Regions from separate parts of the Mus musculus genome. Here all the other regions are reported to be linked to region 1. Evidence: microRNA targets listed by miRTarBase, many of them from high-throughput screens and not tested one by one. Region 1 holds a microRNA gene; each other region holds the end of a gene's coding sequence.
The links. The annotated mature microRNA mmu-miR-1a-3p reads UGGAAUGUAAAGAAGUAUGUAU and lies in region 1 at 869-890, opposite strand. An mRNA with a match to its seed (bases 2 to 7 or 8) in the 3' UTR can be bound and repressed. Matches are read on the target gene's strand: a 7mer-m8 pairs with bases 2 to 8, a 7mer-A1 pairs with bases 2 to 7 and ends in A, and an 8mer does both.

Region 1 (3,138 bases):
TGTGAAGGAATGATGCTGAGGCTCTGATGGGGGCAGCCAGGGAAGGAATGGGCCCAGGGTCGGCCGAACGAAATAACCTATTCCCCCCACCCCCCCCCCGGGGTCCCTGGATGAGCTGCTGTACCCAGGTCCCCAGAGCCAACTCCTCCATCCAGACTGGGACAGCTTCAGACCCTGGGCTCCCTTTATCTGAATCACCATGGGTGGCCAGGATAGCCATGAGTAGAGCTGACACTGAGATTGTCAGTGAGCAGATACAATCAGCACACAGTGGGCAGCAGTGTCTGCGCAGGGCTCTCCACCTCCCCTCCCCACCAGGCCCTGTGAGCCAGAGGCCAGCAGGAGACTCATCCCTCAAAAGCCTTTACCACGTGACTACCAAAGTCTCTCCCCTCCCTTCATGCCCCACCACCACCACCACCACCACCACCACCACCACCACCACCAAGCACCACCTTTTAGAACTTGCTGCCTCTCCCAGTGGTCTGAGCAGTCCCTGCCCGGTCCCCACACCCTTTCTGCTGGAGAGGCCTCCTTCAGAGCACAGCAAGGATCAGTACAACTCCATTCCCAAGCCAAGCTTCCAGACCCCCAACCCTGCTGGCCCCGCTCGGGACCCCAGGCCTGCCAGAGGGCCTCCTCCCTCTGCCGCAGTCAGCACACTGAATATTTAATGTCTGACGAGCACTTCCACCTGCTGACACAGGCAAAGTGGCAGAACAATGCCAACAGGGACAGGGACACAGCCGGTACCCTTACAGTCGGCCTCCCGAGGCCCTGCCGGTCCATCGGTCCATTGCCTTTCCCGAGCAGCCACCCACAGGGCATGGGCCACCCCTCAGTCTGGCGAGAGAGTTCCTAGCCTGAAATACATACTTCTTTACATTCCATAGCTTAGCAGGTTCATATGGGCATATAAAGAAGTATGTGTCCCAAGCAGGTAGGTTCAGTGTGCACAAGAACAGGACTCCGAGGAAGTGGCCCTCCACAAGCTGGCCCCCTTTTGGTGTCGCCTGTGTCTCAGTCTCTCTCACACATGCACACTTGGTAAAGACTGGAAGCAGACAGGGCGTGCTGAAAAGTCTCAAAACCCTTTTCATCCCCACCGTTGCTTACACCTCCCTCAACGGAATGAGTTCTTTCCCATTCTTCCCAACAGAGGGAAGTCACATCCCAGACTCTAAGAAATAGCATCCAACTCTACTAACATCTTCTCTCTCCTTCCTGCCCACCTTGTCACCACCAAGGACAGTGAGGGTGGGGTAAGGAGACAGAATTCAGGAGCAGCTCCACCCACGAGCCATCAGGGACCCGTACCCCAGACTAAGAACCAGTCACATCCTTTTCCTGGGGACTTGAACAGCCCAGCTCCCTGAGGACAGATGAAAACAAGCAGTTTTGTGAGTCTCCAGAAATGAATCAAAGGGCTTACCTGGACAGGCGATGGCTCCCCTGGCAGGACCCTGATGAATTGTTTCCCAAAATGAGAGTCCCCGAGAGAAGGTCTCAGTGCCTCTTTCTTTGAAGTGAAGAAGAAAGATAGTGATCTTGAATTCACAGTGTCTAGGGGCTACTAAGAGGTGACCTACTCCTTGGCCAGCTCTTTGGGGCTCAGTCTGGCCTGAGAGTTGATGCCAAGCCAATGAGGGAGTTTCTATTCCAGCTACCTCCTTCTTTGGTCCCCTTCCCTCTTCTCGCTTCTGTACCCTCTGTCCTCCTGGTGACCTACAGTCTCCAACGCCATCCCCTGCTATGCAGCATAACCATGTAAGATGGTCGTAAGGAACCGCTCCCATGGAAATCTGGAGGCTATTTCTGAAGGGCCCTGTCCCTCACCTAGTTCCTGATCCATCAGTCCCTGATCAATAGTAGTTTGTAGCTACACAAAGGGGCTGTCCGCCTGTTTGCTGTACCAACTTCTGAAAAAAAAAAAACAACAAAAAAAAAAAACTATAGGCTAATTTGAAAAAAAAAAAGTTCAAGGGAAATGCTTGGGAAACTTAGTTATATTTTGTCTCTCCTCTTGATTTTTGAGATCTCGCCGCAAGTGAAGTGGAGGCTCCCTTCTGCCCTACCAACTTCTACACCCAGAGTGAGGAAGAAAGGAATGTGAAAAACAGAAAGATGGGCAGGACTTCCAGGTCAGAGCCTCAGCAGCAAAAGGGAGGCTATCCTCAGACTGAGAGAAAGAAGGGGAAGAAGAAAGCAGTGGTCTGGAGGGGGGGGGAGGAAGAGGAGGAGGGAGAAAAGGAGGAAGAGACTCACATGCCTGGGGACTCACCATCACCCAAGGTGAGCCTGCAGGTAAAGTGCTGGAACCCTGGAACAGGTGTCCCTGCAGGCGGCTACCTACAGAAAGAGCTGGAGACACCCACTGCAGGAGAGGTGGTGCAGGCACAGAGGGTCTGGCTGGGCTTGGACCTGGTGTGGGGCTGCAGGGCAGTCCCAGCTCCTGAAAGAACATTCAGTTCTTCCGTGTCAGCAGGACAATGTCTGTCTCTGGCATGACCTGACCAGCCCTGTCCCTGTGTGGAAACACCCCAGAGAGCATCCAGACTCTCCCATTCCTGGGAGGGCCCTGTCTCTGCAGAGCCTGCAGCATGTAGAGGTCCCCTGGTTGTGGCAGCTGTAGCTAGGCAGGGTGGAAAGAGGATTAGGATACTGAGAGAAGCTTGTGCAGCAGGAATGAGCGAGGGACAGAAACTGTGCCCATTTCCCATGTGGTTGCTGTTAAAATTTCATTTCCACATAGCCAAGGATAAAAAGGGCAGCCAGTCCATCAGCCTCAGCTTCCAGCTTCTGGAGGTACCCCTGGTGTGACTGAGCTCCCACTTAGGCTCCCTGAGAACTCTAAGAACAAATGCCTCTCTGCCCTCTGTCCCAACTCCCAGGTGTTCATGATAGCGTCTGTATGTCAAACAGAAAGTTGGGGGGACCTGAAGAGCAGAGATTGATTCAGTCTGAGCCCACATCTTCAGGAGCTGCTCATTCAGGAATGAATGAGAGTCACTTCTCAAAAAGTTTCCCACCTTGACAGGAAAGTGGTGTCAGTCACCTCCAAGTAGACCCCTCTGGCATCTGGGGTGGGGCCTTATCCTGAGCCCCCCCCCCCCTCACACACACACACTATGAACACTA
Region 2 (3,000 bases), not on the chromosome of region 1:
GTACTCAAATGAGGCGCTGCACTTAGTATATTGGTCAATAAGTTTGCCAATTAGCTAGGCACATGTAGTTCATGGTATCCACTATCTTATTTGGTTGGAAATCAACCAAACCTTTATGAAAAGAGAAAAACAGAACAGATAGTAATACCCAAAAGAAAGAAAAAACAAACTCCAAACCTCTGAACGCATTAAAAACACGTCACTTTTCATGTGTTTCAGCAGTAAGACACATCAGATAGAGAAATGTAACAAAGAAAATGAATGCTTTAATATGGATCCTGAAATGTCAGTCTCTGAAGATGGGTCATGAAACCAGAATATGAAAGAAAAGGAAATGTGGGGGAAAAAAAATCATGTTCAGTTTCATCGCGTTAAACTACAAAGAAACTGGCGTCTCCTTTGAAGACCTGGAACTCAGAAGGGGCTGAGCCACCAATCAGCAGTGCTGAAGAGTTCCTACCCCAGCAGTGTCTTCCATACTGCAAGAATACTTTCAGAGCTACAGAACTACCATTAAAAATGAGTCCACTCTATTTAGCCAAAGAGCAACGAGGAATATTGAAATCTGCCATCAGGAGTAAAAAGACAAAATATCACTGGCAGACAGCAATTTTGGGGAACTTTGGATCACTCGAATATGGCTTCCTGATTTTCTAAGTCTTCAAGATCATACAGACCTAATGTGATTTCATATTTATTAAAAATGGCTCATGCCAGTTGTTTCAGAAAATATCTGTCTGCACAAATGCATTTGGCCTTTGAAAAATGCATACTTGAAGACTAGCTGGGCAGTCTAGTGAGTAAACACCCTTTGCCAGTTGGAAATTAAGACCATGATTAAAACACTGCCAATAACAACTCCTTATACTCTGAGGTACATTATAACTAATCTGTAAAACGTGCACCATATCTACTGAAATCATCACAGAACACTTCAGGGATGGCTGTGACCTACCCAGTGATTCAAAGGTTATAACCACACTGTGATTTTCTTGTTTTCATTTTTGATTGATTTTTCTTAAAAAAAAAAAAAAGTTTGGCTTTAATCTAGTACTAGTAATTTATGGTATTTTCAACTTTCTAGTTTGTGGTCAAGATGGACAGGTCAAAGGGCATAGGCCAGGAGATGGCAGTGAGAAATCAGAAGGTATCATGTGTACTCTGGGTCACGGACATGACTACCTCTTCTTAAACCCTTGTGCCCATGGTAATCTTTACTCATACCTCCATATTTGTAAGTCAGAATTAGTCTATTAAAAAAAGTCACATTAAAAAGGTAAAATTATTTATGTGCAATATTAACTGATCTGCATTTTATAAATTTTAATCCATAAAAATATAAATAAAAATGGTAAATTTTTAAGAAAAGAAATATACATTTAGTGCAAGTTATGAATTACAGTTCATCTCCAGTGTCAGCAGTGAAACATCCTGAAATAAAAGAATGATCTAATTTGAAGAACAAAATTCCAGTGTTTAACATGCAATTAATACCAGGTACAGCTAAACAGACTCCTTCCTCCTCTTTACAGTCACGGCAGCAGCGCTTGCTTTCGTTATGCTGAACAGCACTTCTCTGTCATAGTAGTCATCTCAGAAATAGAAAATTTGCATAAGACTAGGTCACATTATCCATAAAGTCTGAGAGGAAAAAATAAAACTGATTAGAGTCAAGTTTGTTTTAGATTCTGAACCACACAGCACACAAGCTGGGAGATTGCATTCACACCTCCAGATTTTCCCTGCTTGGCCAGCAGTGGTGTGTGCACACATTCCCAAGCCTTTAGTGATGGTACAGACTACATGGTTAATGGCACAAGAAACATTCCCTTCTTGTGATGAAACGTCAGTAAAATCACAGTACATCTCAATATGAGAAAGGACTGCTTCAAAAGGACACACCAGAGAGGTTTCGTTACAGCTCCAGAGGAAGGGGGAGGGAGGACAGAGAAGCTCTTTTGGAATGTAGAAAGGTGATGCGTAACTATACAATTCATGAGTTTAACACAACAGTTCTGGTATAAAAGGGCAAGACCTTGCAGTCTTAATAGATGGCTCAATTCAAAGTAGTCCCTCCAGAAGTAGGGACTGTAATGCGTCTCTGTGGTGCTGAGGGAACCGCCAGACGCTCGAGGATCCCAGGGACAGACGGACGGCTCCGCGGAGGCTCAAGCCTGCACTCCCACTGCACTCCTCAGGGAGTGCAGCCAGTGAGGTGCAGAGCAACATGAGATGAATTACTGTTCCAGGTAGCTAGGGAAATACCTCACTCTTTCCCTTCTCCCTCCCCAAACAATCCCTCTGCTCTCCCAGCATTATTTGCAAACCGGGTTGCAAAGCTCGCCTTGTATTTCCTTTTTTTTTTTTTTTTGAAAGAAGAAAAAAGTGGACGAGTCCCGCAGATTAAAGAATTGTGCTATTCAACAAACGAACTTCCTCTTCTGTCTCCTCTCTGTCCTCATCTACAGGACTCAGTTGAACATTATTGAAGCGGGGTCTTGGTTTGCCGTCTGGGCCATATGACGGAGGATATCTTTTTTTGTTATAATGCCAAGGAGGCGTCTGAAAAGGATAAACAGAAAAAGCTATTAAAATAAAAGGGAAAAGACAAGAGGAACTAAATCTATGGATAAATCCTTTTTGTTGACAGGAATAGAGAGCAAAGCAAGCAGCCTGATTGTGCTTATTTTAAAAGGTGTTTTACTGCAAAGACAATGAAATTACCCAGCAACCATCCTCTGACAAAAATACAGTGGCCACGTAGAGTGTGAGGCCCTTCCCACTGGGGCTGGGACGCAGGCCTCACTGAAGCAGGGCTGCTCTGATTCACGTATGCCAACAGAAAAGTAGCAAAAACTGGGACGATGTTTGAACAGAAAGTAATACTGATCCAGTTTGAAAAGGAACCTATTGCCATTATATTAGAAAACAATTTAAAACCGCAATAGTTTATAGAACCAAAATTTTTAAGAAATAATTTGCCTAGTTGTATGCAGACTA
Region 3 (3,138 bases), not on the chromosome of region 1:
TCTGTCTCAAAAACAACCAAACCCAAAAAACACCTGGAGATAAAGACTCTGGGGCTGGGGCTCCAGCCAGGAAGCATCTCATTTTAACAGTCAAATGTGGGCCTTCGGTCAGATTCCTGGGCAAGTCACTTCATTTCTCTAGGTCCTTTTTGTGGAATAAAGTTGTTTTGCCTGCATGTTACTGTGCCATACACATGCTTGCAGTGCCCTCGGAGGCCAGAACTCCTGGAACTCGAGTTAAACAGATGGTTGTGAGCTATAGTGTGGGCCCTGGGTCTGGAACCTAGGACCTTTGCCAGAGTTGCTAGTGTTCTTGACTGCCAAGCCATCTTTCCAGCCCTCAGGATCCATCTTTGTTTTTGTTTGAGACAGGATTTCTTTGTGTAGCCCTGGCTGACCTTGAACTCACAGAGTCTGCCCCCACCTCCCCCACTGCTGGGATTAAAGGGGAGACTCCACTGCCAGGCTCTAGTTTTTACAGCAAAGACTTCAACCCCTTCATTACAGACCTGTGGGACCAGACGGTGGAGTGTTCACTGCCCTGTGGCAGGACTGACACGAAGGTGACTGTAACCTCCTGCTCTGAGGGTGACCCTCCAGTTCTGTAGAGAGGTTGGGGAACTAGGACTTCTGTCCTGGAGGGCTCTGTGGGAAGCTTGGCCTCAGGCCTCCACCATGCCCTTTATGAGATCCCTGTAACTTCTAAGGCAGCCAGTAACTGGGCTGCCTTAGAAGGCAAAGCAGGGCGTCTGGTGCATCCCTCTGGAAGCATTGCTAAGGTCTCTGCTATGCTGTTTTCTAAAGACTGCTGCCCCTTCCTCAGGCCAACTGACAGCATTCCTAGTCATGGAGTCTAGTGGTCTCACACCTATATCACATGTCTAGTGAAGGAGCTATTGGACACACTGTGCCCTCTCTTGACCTGTTTGTCAGCTGTTGGTAGTAAACTGTCCCTTGAAGGACCTAACACAATGACCAGATCCTCATTTGCTGTGCCCTTGTGTGCTGAAGCACCAGCTGCACGCCGGCCAACCCTCACTGCGGCTTGCTGCTGCCTCAGGACCGAGACCGGGGCTGGATTTACCAGAAGCTGAGGAGAACTGGTGCTCTTCTCTGGGAGCCAATCGAACAGCCTGGCCTCTTGCCAAGCACTGGGAAGGTCTAACTTTTTAGCTCTGACCCATTCTGCTAAAGAGGTGAAGGGGCAGAAGCCATCACTTTAGGCCGAGAGGACATCCTATTGTCTGGGCCCAGTTTCACAGCTGCCAGACAATCCCCCAAGGACCCAGCACTGTGTGTCTTGCCTTGGCGTTCGATGGTGACCCGTAGGAGATGTCTGAAATGTATAAAATGGGTCGTGGAGACTTGACAGGCCCCGCCCTGCTCTGGGAGGGACCTCACCGGTGGTTCCTGCTCCTTGAGTGGTCCTGCCTCCCTCTCCTGGCTGAGGAGAGCTGGCGGGAAAGAGGACTGACTGAAACACCCTGACAATCTAAGCGTTGACTGGTCCCCAGTCTTGGGGGAAAAGGTAAGGCTTCCATCAGAAAGGCTCTTCAGAGGTCGGGTGCTACAGGTGGCTGTAATCCCAGCCTTGAGAAACTCAGGCAGAATTGTCATGAGTTCTAGACTACACAGCGAGTTCCAGGCCAGTGTGCTAGTGTGAAGCCCCGTTTGAAACAACAACAACACCCCTACAGGCTAGATCTTGGCTAGGGAGCCTGAGCCCCCTTCAATGGGTCAGACCTGCCCTGTCCCCACCCACCCCCGGTTCAGAGCATGTCTCAGGGTGTGATTATAGCTGAGGCCAGCCTGCCTTGTCTTCTGTAGGTCTATGGCCTCAGGAGGTGGGTTGCTATGTGTAAAACAGAGTAAAGTAAGCTCCCCCCCAAAATGGAAGGTTCTGGAGTTTCCCTACATCTCCTAACAAGTTGATGTGGGAGGGGCAGGGATACTTCCACTCTGCAGATAGACAGGCCTGGCCAGTGTGGGTGGGAGTACCAGGTACTGAGTGACAGCTTACATGGTGTTCAGGAAAGGGTAGGAGGGACAAAGGCTGCAGTGTCCCCTGGCTGTGCCACTGATCTCTGGAGCCAACACTGGGTCTGGAGGAACAGACTGGAAGACCCTCCAGCCCCTCTCAGATGTTACAGGCAGAATGTGGGTCACATCCCTTTTTAAAGACACTGGGGTCCTCACCTGCCTGCCAAGGTCCTGAAAAGGTCCCTTGGACCAAGACCTCTGTAAACATATGAGAAAGAAGACACCAACATTGAGCTTGCTTTATGGGTGAAGGCTGGCTGAGCTGGGCTGGGCTGGGCTGGGGATGAAGATGAAGATGTGGGCTTAGCTGTAGAAAGGGCTGAGGGCTCAGGGTCTGGTGTCAGGCCTCCTCACTGTGAGTCATCAGTACAGAGGCACAGGGAGGTGAGGTGGGAAGTAAATCGGGGTGCAGGAAATGGGAAGAGAATGGGACTGGGCAGAGGATGAAGAAAAAGACAGGGCAGGGCTGGGAAGCAGGGTCCAGGTCAGCATGGAGAGGCTCAGAAAGGTGCCTCCCGAGATTGGTAGGCAGCCATTAGGGCTCTTTTGAGCTGCTCATAGGTGACAAACATCACTACGTTCCAGGATCCCAAGCGGAGAAAGGAAGGCATGAACCTAGAGAGAGCAAACACAAGTCATGGAGGTCCCTCCACCACCTGCTTCTAACCACTGGGCTCATCCATCCACCCAACCCATGGCCACATGCCCAAGAATCCCGAGTACCCAGCTCCCTACTCCTGCTGTGCTGGGGAGCAGAACCCAGGGTCTCCAAGCATGCTAAGCAAGCCCTCCACCACTGACCCACCCATCCCCAACCCCCAGTCTGAATGCTCATTTTAACTTCTAAAAAACAGAGGTGACAGCAACTATGGGCTGTCTGACATTTGGCTGCATCTCACTTCTCTGGAGTTCTGTGAGGGGATCTGAGGCTCACCCCTTGTAGAAGGCGCGGGGTCCCTCCTTCCGGAGCATGGTAAGGGCACAGTGACCTGCGCTGTGGTACTGGCCCAAGGCAGAGTTCATGTATCTCGTCTTGACCACATCAACAGGGGAGGCGATGACGGTGGTGCAGAAGCCGGCCCCGAAGGCAGAAGTGAA
Region 4 (3,138 bases), not on the chromosome of region 1:
ATGGCCCTAAAGTGTCATAAAGACATTCCTGAAGGTTTTTTTTATTATTATTATTATATTTTTACTTTCTTGAAAGGAGAGAGGGTGGGGCATGCAGTAGAATTTGCTCTCTGGCCTCTCCCTTTTTTTTAAGAAAAAAAAGGGGGGTGGCTAATTCTTCCTTCTAGCAATGGCTTCAGCAGCCCGTTCTCTTTCCCTTTACAGGCGAGAAACCTTACCACTGTGACTGGGACGGCTGTGGGTGGAAATTCGCCCGCTCCGATGAACTGACCAGGCACTACCGCAAACACACAGGGCACCGGCCCTTTCAGTGCCAGAAGTGTGACAGGGCCTTTTCCAGGTCGGACCACCTTGCCTTACACATGAAGAGGCACTTTTAAATCCCACGTAGTGGATGTGACCCACACTGCCAGGAGAGAGAGTTCAGTATTTTTTTTTCTAACCTTTCACACTGTCTTCCCACGAGGGGAGGAGCCCAGCTGGCAAGCGCTACAATCATGGTCAAGTTCCCAGCAAGTCAGCTTGTGAATGGATAATCAGGAGAAAGGAAGAGTTCAAGAGACAAAACAGAAATACTAAAAACAAACAAACAAAAAAACAAACAAAAAAAACAAGAAAAAAAAATCACAGAACAGATGGGGTCTGATACTGGATGGATCTTCTATCATTCCAATACCAAATCCAACTTGAACATGCCCGGACTTACAAAATGCCAAGGGGTGACTGGAAGTTTGTGGATATCAGGGTATACACTAAATCAGTGAGCTTGGGGGGAGGGAAGACCAGGATTCCCTTGAATTGTGTTTCGATGATGCAATACACACGTAAAGATCACCTTGTATGCTCTTTGCCTTCTTAAAAAAAAAAAAAGCCATTATTGTGTCGGAGGAAGAGGAAGCGATTCAGGTACAGAACATGTTCTAACAGCCTAAATGATGGTGCTTGGTGAGTCGTGGTTCTAAAGGTACCAAACGGGGGAGCCAAAGTTCTCCAACTGCTGCATACTTTTGACAAGGAAAATCTAGTTTTGTCTTCCGATCTACATTGATGACCTAAGCCAGGTAAATAAGCCTGGTTTATTTCTGTAACATTTTTATGCAGACAGTCTGTTATGCACTGTGGTTTCAGATGTGCAATAATTTGTACAATGGTTTATTCCCAAGTATGCCTTTAAGCAGAACAAATGTGTTTTTCTATATAGTTCCTTGCCTTAATAAATATGTAATATAAATTTAAGCAAACTTCTATTTTGTATATTTGTAAACTACAAAGTAAAAAAAAATGAACATTTTGTGGAGTTTGTATTTTGCATACTCAAGGTGAGAAATAAGTTTTAAATAAACCTATAATATTTTATCTGAACGACAATCTCTTTGTTTTTTTTTTTCGAAACTGGAAAAGAACTTTTTAACGGGGGGGGGGGGGGGGCCACTGGTGAGAACCACACTGTGAAGCCAACCTTACCTTAGCAAGAGGATGTAGGCAACTTGCTTTTTTAGACTACTCAGTTTTACATGAAGTAGTGTTGGAGTTGAGAGCTGTACGGATGGGACCTTAAAAAACATCTGGTTCATGTTTGTTTAGTACGAATGCAGAAGTATACCTCCTTACCCAAACGCACATTTCCAGGTAGGTGGCTCAGTTATTCTTTGATCTGCTCAATTTTAGCAGGGAGCACTAAACAGTAGGCCAGAACACTCTAGTTTCATACATTTATATTTATACACATAGACACATACACACACAAACGTGTGTGTATATGTACATGTTACATTTTGTCTTTAAATGAAATTATGAATCATTTTCTGTGCAGGCCTGGCCTTGTAGTCCCCACAGAATCTAAGTAACAAAAGAACCTTCCCCAGGCAAACAACCCTAAGAACAGAATGTAGTTCCACAGTGCCCTCCTGAGGATTAAGGGCTTCATTTATGCTGCATATATTATCCCTAAAGAGATCCAAAATATACTATCTACAGAGTATCTCAAAGCTTCCTGAATGTCTCTGAAGGCATGGAAACAATTTAAAAATTACTCAAACCCTGAAGGACAGGACTGTGTAGCCCAGTGGTGGGGTGCAACTGAGCAAAACCCTGGAGAGGTAGCCACCTCTCCAGGTTGAAGCAAAACTATTTTTAGCTGTCACAAAATGGAAAAGTCTGTGTGATACTTGTAGACATGTTAATGGTGGTGTGGGTGACTCAGAAGATGAAAGGAGCAGAAGCTGACTGGCTTATTCTTTAGAGTGCTTATTAACCATCCATTGTACCTAGTGCCTGGAGTTGTATTTACACCGTATTATGCTTTATAAATGGAATTTAGAAACGTAGATTCACAAGGAGCTCATGGGAGATCGGCAAAGTAGTTTCTTTGACTTTTAAGAGGCCAGTGTGATTGAAACCACAGCATGTGTCTTTGCTTAAAAGGAAACAGGTGCATCAGGAAGATGGAATTTTATGTGGTCAAGAATATATTCAAAGCAAAGCTAATGACATGGAAAAATGTTCATGGTATGTTAAGTGGAGAAGGCAGGATATAACACAATAAACAGCGAGACTCCAATTGTATACTTGAGTTTGGGCTTGTCTCCTGTCACCCAGGCTGGCTCAATCCTAACTCTGTTGCTGAGAATGGCCTTGAACTGGTCACCTTGCCTCTCCCTCCCAAACTCCTGGGTTATGGGCATGCTCTAGCAAACCTGGCTGTGTTTTGTTTCCTGTTTGGTTTTGTCCTTGCTTTTTGTTGTTTGTTTGTTTAAGTAGGTTTGCTTATTGTAGCTCCAGGCAAGCCTGGAGCTCCTTGCAACTCAACTGTCCTTTTAACCCAGGGACTCTCTTGCCCCGGCCTCCCCAGTGCTGTATGTATATATGCTCACTGTCATATGTGGCTTGGGTATGTGTGTTGAGGAGCAGAAAAAACAATAGGAAATAAAAAGATTGGAAAGAAACACGAAAAAGTGAATAGTAGTTTGCTTGGCTTCAAATTTCAGTCCAAATGGATTTGAGAACCAAATACTACCCCTCCCCATCAATTTGCAAACACTCACAAATAATAAGTACAGGAAAATTGCTTTTCTAAGAATAAAAGTAAAATACACCTGGGCTTTTTTTTTTAAAGAATTTAACCTATGTAAAATAAAA

Region 2: miRTarBase lists Clcn3 as a target of mmu-miR-1a-3p. Seed matches in the 3' UTR shown: 8mer at 1,960-1,967.
Region 3: miRTarBase lists Ucp2 as a target of mmu-miR-1a-3p. The part of its 3' UTR that is shown has no 7-base or 8-base seed match.
Region 4: miRTarBase lists Klf4 as a target of mmu-miR-1a-3p. Seed matches in the 3' UTR shown: 7mer-A1 at 666-672.

Annotation. Positions count from the first base shown.
Region 1 is chr2:180,386,848-180,389,985 of GRCm38, reverse strand. It overlaps Mir1a-1 (microRNA 1a-1), which reads right to left and starts at 938; the gene lies at 862-938. It overlaps Mir1a-1hg (Mir1a-1 and Mir133a-2 host gene), which reads right to left. Exons shown (of 4, transcript NR_045331.1): 2 at 2,282-2,452; 3 at 1,433-1,519.
Region 2 is chr8:60,910,614-60,913,613 of GRCm38, forward strand. Clcn3 (chloride channel, voltage-sensitive 3) reads right to left here. Exons shown (of 13, transcript NM_173873.1): 13 at 1-2,562. The coding sequence ends at 2,472. Among named protein-coding and RNA genes, the nearest start is that of Hpf1, 22 kb to the left of the region's middle.
Region 3 is chr7:100,498,753-100,501,890 of GRCm38, reverse strand. It overlaps Ucp2 (uncoupling protein 2 (mitochondrial, proton carrier)), which reads right to left. Exons shown (of 8, transcript NM_011671.5): 7 at 2,975-3,138; 8 at 2,262-2,655. The coding sequence ends at 2,541. Among named protein-coding and RNA genes, the nearest start is that of Ucp2, 7.0 kb to the right of the region's middle.
Region 4 is chr4:55,525,367-55,528,504 of GRCm38, reverse strand. It overlaps Klf4 (Kruppel-like factor 4 (gut)), which reads left to right. Exons shown (of 5, transcript NM_010637.3): 5 at 205-1,368. The coding sequence ends at 380. Among named protein-coding and RNA genes, the nearest start is that of Klf4, 5.5 kb to the left of the region's middle.